Arabidopsis thaliana: one gene and its partner. The protein of the gene in region 2 interacts with the protein of the main gene of each other region in a biochemical or structural test. Each region holds a gene or a part of one and is shown on either strand. Other genes may lie near its edges.

Region 1 (6,403 bases), about 22 Mb from region 2:
TGATTTATTTTTTATACGCTAAAAATATGATTGATCATGTGTTTTATTCAATTTTAAAAGCACATTAACATTAATCAATCATTAATAGATCTAATGTGCTTGATGTTTTAGTTGGTCTTATAAATTAATTTCACCGATAAATGAATTTTTTTTTCTCCGGCGAGATAAAACATTACATGGTGAGGCTTCAAGCTAAAGTTGGCTTCATTACATCTAACAATTTCGACATTTTTATGTACGAAACTTGTAGTTATATCAAGCTTAGTTTCTTTGAATTTTAACTATCGTTTCCAAGGCAAATCTCTCATATTTTTTAACCATAGAAAAATAATCTTTTATACTCTTTTTATTCTTTCAAACCAATTAATCTTTTTTCTATGAGGAGATTTTAGTTATTTGTGTGAATATAGTTATGAAAACATGTAGACAATAATTGAAACCTAAATGTGAAAGGTCCAAACTTAAACTTTTTTGTGGTTTAAAGCATAAAATTAATTTTCAAAAATATATATGTCAAAATGATGTATATAAAATAAAAACTAAATCATATTAATGAAATATTCCTTTGAAAGATAAAAAAGCTGAAGAGACGGCATGAAGTATGGCTATTGAGTTGAGTTGGCTTTAGAAGCACTGTTTGATCTTGAAGTTGAGTTTGCGTCTAGTATGGCCGAAGATAAGATGAAGAGTAAAAGTTGCTTTTTCTAAATGAAAAGCGCTCCTTGGAGAAAGAGATAGTCTACATGGAGCGTGAAGAACTTTTAGAAGAGGTTTCTTATTTCAGTCTTGTGTAGCAAAACAAGAAGAATGGTCTTCCTTCTCCTCAAGAAAGAACATGGAAGTCATTGAAGCATAAATGAGTCATTCTTCCATTGCCTTACTACAAACACAATGTTCCCCTCATCTACAATGGATGGGAAACTTGATTGGCAAGTCACTTCCTTTTGTATTAATGTAGGGTTCTTGGTGAGGGAAAATCGCTAATTCTTCAATTAGGTTTTTTTTCCCTTTTCTCACCTCTTCTTCTTTTTGGAAGAACATTATTCATGTCTCTGCTTCTCAACCATCCCCCGAAGCTCTGCTTTCGTATACCCTTGTTGGTAAGATCATCTCCTCTTCTCTCTAATGGCGTCTCATCGAAGATCCACTTTTTGTCATCATGTAAGTTGATTCTTGTGGAGCTGATCTCGGAAAACTCGTCATTAGGAGGGCTGGTGACATCACTCAGTTTTGACTAGTTTTGCTTACAAGTCACATATGAAATGACTAGTTTTGCTTGCAATCTAGAAATCCATTGAATTAATATTAAAAGCTAACTCTAATAACCAAAACACAGAGATTGAAGCAAATCTTTTTAATTGGATTAATAAATAAACTGAAAAACTTTACATTACCATAACATCAAGATGCAAAAGTTGTATCTACAGATAGACCGAGCGAAATCAAAAAGGACAAAAACCAAACTAAAAAGAAGAATTTTGCTTCACAAAAAAAGCTCAATAAAAAATAAAATGAGTTCAGAGATTTAGAAATGTAACAAATAAAGAACCATAACGAAAGAACAACCTTCAACAATACAATGATGTCTTGCCGCTGCTTGCTTTTGCTTTTGCTTTTTCAGGTATCTTCAACCTGAGAATGGAACACAAAGCTTGGAAACGTAGTCGTGATATCCCTGCAGAGCAAGCACACAACAGGATCACGACCTTTATTACATATCATGGAGAATAGAAGAAAGAGAAACCAGAGAAGGAATTTGGTTGAATAGATTCAATCCTGGTTATATAAATAGAAAGATTTGGAACTCACTTGAGATATTGAAGAGTCATGTTCTTCAGAAGGCTGGGATGTCTAAGAACAAGGCTTCTCCACTCTTCCTTATCGATCTTTCCATCGTGTTTTGTGTCTGCTTCCTCAAACGTCTGAAACATTCAAAACTCGGGAAATTACTTTCAAAGAAAAAATATAGGGTGAAGAGGAAAAAAAGTAAGTAACTTACCTTGTCGATTATATCCTCAATGACAGTATCCTTCAAATTCATTCCAGATTCAGCAAGCGTAGCGACAACCATTTGTTTCACCTGGACAAATGATGGACGAAAATGTCAGTGAGGATAATAAAGCGCACTTCTACAAGGTTATATATGAAGCTATTTGAAGATATGGAAGCTTTACCTCTTGCCGTTCGATAAACCCTTGCTGTTTAAGATCATATAGCTGAAATGAAACTGCAAAAAAATAGTATATATCATTAATGTGTTATCCCAATCTTGTTTTTGAGATACAAGCTAAAAGGGACGTACAGTGAATTTTGTCATCTATAGGCGCATTTGGGTGAAAGACGGAGAGAGCACGAGCAAATTCCTCAAACCCCAGTATTCCATTGTGCTTTGTATCAAACAAATCGAAAACCTAGAAACAAAATCACATATTTCAGCATTTCTTCTAAACTTGATCTTGACAAAAATGGGTTTAAGAACACTTATAATGTGAAGAAAGAAACATTACCCGATCTGCAAACAAACTCTCTTTTTTATTTGTCTTAAACAAAGCCAACTGAAACTCTTCCTGATACAAACAAGAGATGAGTAAATTAGACAGATTGTTAGATCAATCACTAAAGCTTTACCAAATGAGGAAGAAGATCAAACAAGTTAGAGTTATACCTTGTTTATTAGCCCATCATCAATCACGGCACTGCTGATTTTCTTAAAAAGCTCATAAAGAGCTTCTATTTCACTCACACTAACTGCATTCCAAAACCAAATTCAATCATCAATAGTCTTCAGAAGAAATATTTTTGCATTCCTCAAATGGTATTGCATCGAATCTTATAACCGGAAAAAAAAAAAAAAAAAAAGAGTAGAGAAGGTGATAGGGCATACAAACAGTGTCTCTTGCAAGCAATTCAGGATCTCCAAGGCCACCAGATTGTTTATACAAATCAAGATCAAAACACCCTAAAACAGAGGTGCATAAATGCTTGATACCGTCAACGCACTGCGACATGATATATCTTAAGCAGCAAATCAAAACTCTCCATGCCTGCATATAAAACATTGTGAACTTGTTTTGCTAATTTCAAAAAACAGCTCTACAGAAGCAAGCATATGAAGAACACTGTACCTTTCAACCATTTCCTAGTGTTTTTTGCTGAGAAAGGATGAGACTTTGCGAGAGTATCTGTAACACAAGTTGCAAAATTCAGAGTAATCTAAATAAGTCAGTCAATATAGGCAACACAAACATTGCTTAGAAACTGAAGTCATTATCATGATTTTACTATTCAGATGATTCAGTTATGTCCACATAATATATACAATATTGAAGAAGATAAGAAAATTAATGGAGAATCTAAAGACTTAATCAAAGCTCATTAACCAAATTTTAATCTTAAACATCACAATTTATGGACACACAAAATTAATAAAATCCATCAGAAACAAACCCAAATTGGGAAATTTGAATTTATACATTAATGAACTCAAGGATTACACAATCAATTACAGGTTCTGAGAAACAAAACCCGATCTAGATCCCCAAAAATCGTCCTAATGGATTCGTGAATCGCAGATTCAACAGAGATAGAAGAATCTTGATATGTAAGTGAACTCAAAATGAGTAGAATGGATTTGCGTATACGAAAATTTACCGATTACGTTGATTCTCAATCTCAAGTCGGCTCTGGTTGTTGAAGCTGAGCGAGGAAGACGGAGACGATTTGTTGTAAAGCAGAGGAGAGAGTTGGAAAACAAATTAAAACCTGAAGAATCTTTTTAAATATCTCAACAAACAACAAAAACTCAATCTTTTTGCATTATTACAAATTAAATCCTGAAAAATCTGCTCAAATCGTCGTCGTTTTATTCTTCAAAATACGGTTCGATTTGATTTTCGTTCCGGTTAAGTAAAACTCGAGCTGAATTGAACCGGACATAAATTTGAATTTCACATTCACCCATAGAATATATGATCTATTGTGCTATTGGAGAATTTAAGTTTTCAAAAAATCTTCAAATTAGTACATTTTTTACGATGTTAAATGCAAAATAATCATACAAAATCAAAGATAATATGTGATATAGCCATTTTTTTCTATTGTCAAATTTTAAATTTTTGACAAGTAACATATAAAATCGAACCTCCCGAAATGATAAGTTCAATTATATCTTCAGAAATTTTAAAAATAATGTGATCATCAAAACGTTTACAATATATATAAATTTGCAAAAATATATTATATTGCGTATTATTTCTGACTTCGTAAAATTATTTTATATTTTCTTTATATAAAATGTAGACAGAAAAATTCATTTCAAGTATTTTTGAAGCATATAAAATGTGTATGTAATAAATGCTTAAATTTGAATCAAATTGGTGAAAATTAGATAAAAGTTTACCTTGAATCGGGTTAAGCCGATTTCAAGCGGTTTAGTAATACAGACCAATGTCTTTTTCGATAAAAATTATTGAACAATGTCAAAAGAAGAAGTAGAAGAAACAAACAAATAACAAAACCGACAGTTATTATACCGAACAAATCCAGTAACCGGGTTTACTGAGCCTTGAGGGAGTCACTAAACCGGCTCGACTTGGACGACAATAAAACAGCGAGGTTCGACCCAATAGACCCGGCACGTGTCAACGAATCAACGCGGTGATACCTGCACCTGAAAGAACCGGCGTGTGTCGTCGGAGAACATAAACAATTTAGCCTCGTAGATTTACCGGAGGACGATCTCCAACGTTTTAAACTAGGTGAGTTATTGTCTTGGCTCTTCGATTCAACGGTAGAGCTACCGGAGGGTTTAGGGTTGATCTTGGCTAAACTTGTGGAATACTTTTCTTGTGCCTTAGGTTGTCCGAGATTTAGGGTTGAAGGGTTTTCTTTCGTCATGGTTTTGACGAACGTAAATAAGAATGAATTTGTGTTGTTGTTTCTTGCTAATGAATCAAAAGGTAATTTCTATAGTGACTTTTGTTATGAAGGTAAAGAATGATTTGTGTTGTTTCTTGCTAATGAATCCAAAAGGTCATTTATAATAGTGACTTGTGAGAGAAGGCAGCTAAAAATAGTCGTTGGATGTTGTTGACAAACTGCTTTTTTAAGTTATTGGTGGTTAGTATTCTAGAAAAGAGTTATTGTAAATTAGTAGAAAATATTTGACTTGGAGGTTTTATTCTTCTTTTTATGGTTTACACATTTTGTGCAAGGACAAATATTATGACTTTTCAACCAATTAGGAACATACTTAGTTGTGTTAGTGCCAATTGAGAATCTAGAACAGTCTAATTTAAAGATTCTGTAACCAAAAAAAAACATCTGATTGTTTTTGTTTGGTTTGTGCCTATTTTAGGTTTTGACAGACTCAAAGGCTTAAAATTCAAACTCTAAATTAAACACCCTAAGACTTACTTATATAGCTGAAGTCAAAACCATCTCAAAGACTCCAACTATTTAGATGCCATGTCCAAAACTTTTATACTTATGAGATATAGTTAATGCTATAAAAATATTTCTTTTAAGAAAACCGACATCCTAATTGATAGTTAATGAAGTAATGTTTGGGTTTTCAGTTTTAAATTGCAAAAAAAAAAATTGAACATATAAAAAAATATATACATCAAGATATGTAAATGAGACGAGAGAAAAAACAAAATATGTAGTATAAACACTATATTAAGATTCTATAAAGTTGTTGCCATTGTGATTTGCATCATCTACTCACAATGTACATAACGATTACTGGTGAGCTCTTTATGTACAAAAAATTTGACACTCACACAAGTAATCGACTTTGCTTCAATCCAAAACTAAAAAAAAAAAAAACTGAGAAAGAAAAAAATTATATTGAGCTTTTGTTGCTTTTAGGGTATTTGCTTTGTCATCTTGGAAGATCTTGTTTGCAGAGAGGACAACAAGAGATGATACGAAGCCATTGATCTACACACTTTGAGTGAAACTTATGTGAACATGGAAGCTTCCTTACTTCTTCTTTGTCTTTATACTTTGCCAAACATATACAACACTCCTGCAAAACCAAATCAAAACTCAAAATCTAAGTCCTTTTCAATCATAAACGAGACTAATAGACAACATTCGACATCAGATTCCCTTAGTGGATCAAAACAGAGCTATCACAGATTAAACCTTATGGTCCAAGAAAACTTGTGGATTTGGCTTGAATTGAGAGTAAAAGAATTAGGACTTACTGGATCATCAGTTACAGTAGCTGAATCTGAATCAGAATCAGAAGCACTATCGTCGATTCGTTTGAATTTCCAGCTAGGGAGACTAGAGATTTGGTCATCTGATGCTGCTCTGTCTGAGGATCCCATGTTCATGTTATATCCAAGGAGGCTACTTATGAGAGGAACAAGGCAACAGAGGAAGAGGAAGAGAA
Region 2 (5,509 bases):
AATGGTAAGATTAGTGTTCATACATGTATTGGAAAATGACAAAGTGTCTTTATTGGTTGGATGATTGTGATTGGGCCAATTCGAGAAGACGACTAAAATGGACAAGCTCATTGAATTCACGGCCTCCAGTGGACCACGTTGGCCCATAATCGGATATACACCATACATTTATCAGTTGGTCAAATCAAAACCTTTTATCATAGAGTGCAGAGTATATTTTTCTAAGGGTTTTGCTTAATCCGCTATCTTTTAGTGGGCCAACAACTACAAATTGGATTGAAGGAGAACCAAGGAAACCACCCAATTTAAGACTCTTGTCTTTTCGTAATCTAACCAACATAACGTGCTCGTCAGATTTTTGCATTTGTGTGTTTCCTACTTTTCCTTTTATGCTCAACAGGATAATTAGTTACATATAACCACAATTAAGGAATTAATTAAAGCATATTAAGTGCTTTAAAAGTGTACGATGTGATTGTGTATATAGTAAATTGGATAATATATAGATCGTGGAGCCTACAATTATTGCATTGAAAAGGTGATATATATGTTGATTACAGTAATTATAACTGCTGAAGCTGAAATTAATGGATTATGGATGATTGGATTCAATGTGGATACCAAGAAAAGAAAATGATTGATGAGAATTATTGGTGTATGATCTTATATCACAGCCACATGCGATAGGATTATATAAAGTCCACTAGCTATATATCTATTTTAATAGTATATTTTTACAATGATGTGATAAGGACAACCTCTTACTTATCAAAAAGGTGAAAGTAGATCAGTTGTGTTAGTTCATGGCTCAAATCTTGACACTTCTTTTTACATAATGACAAAATTAATAGCAGAAGAAGACTGTGTTTTATGAGTTGTTAAAAATTACATCTATATGTATGTTAAATATCATGTTGAATAGTTAACTAATCCTTAAGTAATGGTTAAGTTAGAGTGTCTTGTACACATAGCATTACTTCACATCCACGATACGTTACTAATGTATTATAGTGGCCATTTAAAACAAGTAATACATTTTTTTATATTTTATTTTTCATTTATATAAAATATAATTATGATTACATAACAAGAAGATACATACTTGCCAACTAAAAATTAAGATTTGTCGAGAAATTTCCTGAATAATTATGTCAGAGATATTCTCCGGGTAAAAAAAAAAGCAATTACATATAACCCGGGATATTTTTTTTTAATTATTATTTGGATAATTTATTTGACAGATACCTAAACTACGACGTCGTATGTACTTGAGTTGGTTCTGGGTCCGTTTGGTCTGATTCGTGCACAAGCTCGACGAAGAAAGGCCTGAGTGTATCTGTCCATAAATCTCGTCCAGATGCAGCGGCTCTTTGTCTCTTCCTCACCTCTATCATAACCAGCTCGTCCGTTAGCTGGTTTATCTCAACCACCATTGCGAAGTTACCTTTTTGCCCCTCGATCTTCATCCCCCATGTTTCCTTCTTCGCCACCGTCAGATTCTCCGCCGACACGATCTCCTCCAGCCTCTCCACCACCCTCTCCGCCGTCCACGCCGACACGAACCGTTCCACTCGGTCGTACTTTCTGGCGTCTCCGAAAAGACCGGAGAGATTGAACCCTGGAGATCCTGAGATGATGTCGAATGCGTTCATCCTCCTTGCTCCCATCTCGCTGTCGGTCTCGTCCGCCGGGAGTTTCATATCGGAGTCCTCTAGATGGAATTTAGACATCCGATCGTCGTAGCCCTGTTTGAACCATGGATCGTGGATGATCTCTTCGATAGTGATCCTCGTCTGCGGATTCGTGTCTAAAAGCCGAGTCAGCAGTCGCCGGAGATCCGGTGAGGTCCACTTGGGAATGCGAAATTCTCCCTTGTAGATTTTCCGGTACATAACCATGAGATTATGGTCGTTGAAAGGGAGATAACCGGCGTTGAGGACGAACAGTATGATTCCACATGACCATATGTCGATTTTAGCACCGTCGTACCCTTTCTTCGCCAAAACCTCAGGCGCCACGTACGCCGGCGTACCACAGAGTGTGTGGAGGAGGCCGTCGGGTCGGATCTGATCGGTAAGAGCGCTGAGTCCGAAATCAGAGATCTTCAAATCGAGCTTCTCGTCGAGGAGGAGATTCTCCGGTTTGAGATCACGGTGAAAGATGCCGCGGGAGTGGCAATATCCGACGGCGGAGATGAGCTGCTGGAAATAACGACGGCTAAGATCCTCGCAGAACCTGCCCTTGGAGACTTTGGCGAATAGCTCACCGCCCTTGGCGAATTCCATGACGAAGAAGATCTTGGATTTGGTGGCGAGGACCTCGAACAGGCGCACGATAGAAGGGTGGCGCAGACGGTGCATGATAGCGATCTCTCTCTGAATGTTGCCATTGAGTCCTCCTTTCTGCAGCCGTTGCTTGCTCACCACTTTGATCGCAACGCTCTGACCCGTCGCTGTGCTCCTCCCGTGGTACACTTTCGCGAAGGCGCCGCATCCCACCAATTTTCCGACCTCGTATTTGCCGAAGAGCTGTCCACGGCGGTTCTCCGGCGGAAATTCCACCGGGTCAGAATCTACCATTAAAAACAGAATCTGCTAGGTCAATTATGGTACACAGAAACTGAGGTCATTGCGAATGAATCAACGCCGTAGAAAAAAAAGAAAAGAAGTCTGAGAGAGAGAGTGTTGTTATTAATAGAAGAAGCGAAAGGAAAATTAGTAGTTTGAAAAGTAAAAAGATATGAACAAAAGTAACAGATATTTAGAGAGATCTGTTAGCAGAGAAAACAAAAGAGAGACAGACAAATTGGGAGGATTCGGATAAGAGATAAGCCATGCTCTGTATCGAGTTGTTACATATATATTACTGTCTTGAGGTAGGAGATGAGGGTATTTTTGTCAATTACTATCAGATTCTTTTTCCTTATTTTCTTCTTCTTTATTTTCTTTGTAAAGACGTGGGAGATTTTCTGTTTTGTTTTCTTAATATATCTATTAAAAAAAGAAGAAGAAGAAGATGAAGATGTGGACAAGAAGTTGAATTAGAACCATACAGGTGTCCCGTCGCTGTTGTCGTGTTGATTTGGTATCTCCGAGGGTTTAGGCTGTAGAATATACTCATTTCACACATATACGCTTCGTCGTATCTTCGGCTATTTGCTATAATATTATTATTACAAGAACATATAAACATGTTTCCTCCAATATTGTTGAATATTATTATTTTATGGTCAACTCAAAACGGAGAATTGTTCTTTCGACTAGCCTAGGCAGCTAGCTCTAGTTAGTTAGTAATTCAGCTAACCACTGCTTTGTTTAGTCATCAATCGTGGTTAAGTCCTTTGAACATCCAAATTCCCCTTATTAGTATTAGTTCAAGTCTCATTTTGAGCACCAGGCTATATATTGCGGTTGACAGGTTACTACAACTCCCGCCCCACTGCTCAAGGTTGGAATCGTCCTATAACTAGTGTCATTTCCTAATCTTCCTTAATCTTTTCAAATCACTATCTAAACTCTACGTTCATTTTTAATTATGATTCTTATGTTTATTTTTCCACTCCATCACTGTTCCAAATAACTTGAATTATTTATCAAATTTAAACAATACTTGGGAAAATATATTTCATGCTTTTTGTATACATTTCACAGTTGTTTATTTCACTATTTTTAGAAAATATATTTGCTTATGTTGGAATCATTAGTTAATACATTTGGAAAACATATGTCATTCCTTTTTAAAAATCTCCAGTTGTTTTTTCCCATATTCGTGGAAAAATAAATCGAGTCTTATGGGCAAATTGATCTATTTGATGCTTTTTGAAAAAAAGAAATATGACTACATTTAAGATTTCAATTGATTATTTTCAATATATGTTTCACATTATAAAGTACAAACAGTGCGCTTGAAAAAATAACTTTTGCCCAAAATAAAAAAGAAAAACAAATTTGATTAATATTTAACATTATCTCATTGTTTTTTTTTAATAGTTACTATTTTCTTACTTAGCTAAGTTGGAAAGTCAGTATAATTTTATAAAGATGTATTAGTTCCATGTATGATCACTACCCACAATCACACTAATTATGTCCCAATTCCTCAGACTTAAACATTTGACGACTTAGAAATCATCGCATTGCATTGTTAGAGTGCAAGGCTTTTATAATCTTGTGAAGTTTTGGTTAAAGTTTAATACCAAAAAAAAGAGGATAAATTTTGCAGTGTCAATTTTTATAGTAAATCTACGACGTGATCTACCCACCGCAGCGTACAACAAAATATAAAATCAATTTTAATTATTTTTGTAATTTATCCAAAACACACAACGTTTTAAAGATTAGATAAATCGTACGTTACTATTTTCGCTGTCACGCTGTGCCCATTTGTACATATATATAAATCCAAGCCACACATAAATTAGTACTATTTTTTTTTGGTAGGCATAAATTAGTACTACAGTATTCACATAAAACCAAATCAACATCTTTTTTAATATATATAAATCCATTAAAAGACATGTACGGGAATAAAATAAAAATAAATTACCGCGTTAATAATGTGATGTACGAAAGATTTCATTTGTTTTTAATTTTGATTTTTTCTGATGCTGTTTCATGGAAGCTTCTTTCGTTGGGGAAAAAGAGAAGGAGGAAGGAAAGAAGCTCGTTAAATAATTACGAAATCAAGGTTCTGTCAATAAAAATGGATGGTTATATAATTGCCCCTTTTCTTTCGTTGGTTCGAAAGGTTGCTCCAATCAAAATATCTACTGATTTTGAATACATTATTAATTGTTGACAAACAAAATAAAAGAATACATTATTAATTTAGCTTGTTACTTTTGGTCCCATGCAAGATTAATGTGACCATATAACCCATTTTTACGACAAAATTTAACGATATAATATATATGACCATAAATAACTTCTGAAGTAATTAACAAAAGAAAACATAAATAAAATGAATTAAAAAAATGGAATATACGAGGTCCATGTTAATATGTTATAAACACGTTTACAAAAAAAAAAAAAAAACGTAATGCAAGAATAAATGAAGGCTGCAGGAAGAAAAATAAAGGGCTTTCGTGCAGAAGAAAGAAACGTACGATAACATAACTGATATCTCCCGTAAGCATTGTCTTACGTTTATTAATGGTCTGGCGACTATATAATTTCCATTAATTCAACATCTAATTACAGTATTTGTCCGTCCACGATATGCATGTATTGATATTTGATATCGTAAAACCAGAATTCTTTTTTTTTTTTTTTTTTTTTGAATACCAGGAGGTTCTGGGTCGAAGCCCGTAATTCCTCAGACCCGAAACCACATCATGTAATATTAGTTTCGTTCCAAGCGTCACTCGAACCGACGATCTCTAAGCTTCGCCTAGGGTCTTTACTAATTGAGCTAACGACGCTTGATAACCAGAATTCTTTTGTTAAACTGTATTTCTGGTATACATAGATTTACATTCGTTTCATCATGAAGATTAATTACAAACACTTAA

The links. Proteins that work in one complex are often made in the same cells at the same time.
Region 1: the proteins of SR1 (region 2) and CBL2 form a complex in vitro, tested with the Arabidopsis thaliana proteins (4 studies listed by BioGRID, with this or other methods).

Annotation. Positions count from the first base shown.
Region 1 is NC_003076.8:22,668,794-22,675,196, reverse strand, and holds CBL2 (calcineurin B-like protein 2), read right to left. Parts: upstream 4,085-6,403; 5' UTR 3,652-4,084; intron 3,183-3,651; 5' UTR 3,126-3,182; intron 3,045-3,125; 5' UTR 3,009-3,044; coding exon 2,885-3,008; intron 2,749-2,884; coding exon 2,666-2,748; intron 2,568-2,665; coding exon 2,508-2,567; intron 2,412-2,507; coding exon 2,303-2,411; intron 2,228-2,302; coding exon 2,175-2,227; intron 2,081-2,174; coding exon 2,000-2,080; intron 1,923-1,999; coding exon 1,810-1,922; intron 1,676-1,809; coding exon 1,618-1,675; 3' UTR 1,567-1,617; exon of another isoform or gene 1,342-1,566; intron 1,284-1,341; 3' UTR 1,097-1,283; downstream 1-1,096. Other genes in the region: AT5G55980 (serine-rich protein-like protein), read right to left, coding at 4,555-4,896; AT5G55970 (RING/U-box superfamily protein), read right to left, coding at 5,885-6,031, 6,213-6,403. UniProt on the Arabidopsis thaliana protein: Acts as a calcium sensor. CBL proteins interact with CIPK serine-threonine protein kinases. Binding of a CBL protein to the regulatory NAF domain of a CIPK protein lead to the activation of the kinase in a calcium-dependent manner.
Region 2 is NC_003076.8:312,173-317,681, forward strand, and holds SR1 (serine/threonine protein kinase 1), read right to left. Parts: upstream 3,234-5,509; 5' UTR 2,580-3,233; coding exon 1,251-2,579; 3' UTR 1,018-1,250; downstream 1-1,017. UniProt on the Arabidopsis thaliana protein: CIPK serine-threonine protein kinases interact with CBL proteins. Binding of a CBL protein to the regulatory NAF domain of CIPK protein lead to the activation of the kinase in a calcium-dependent manner.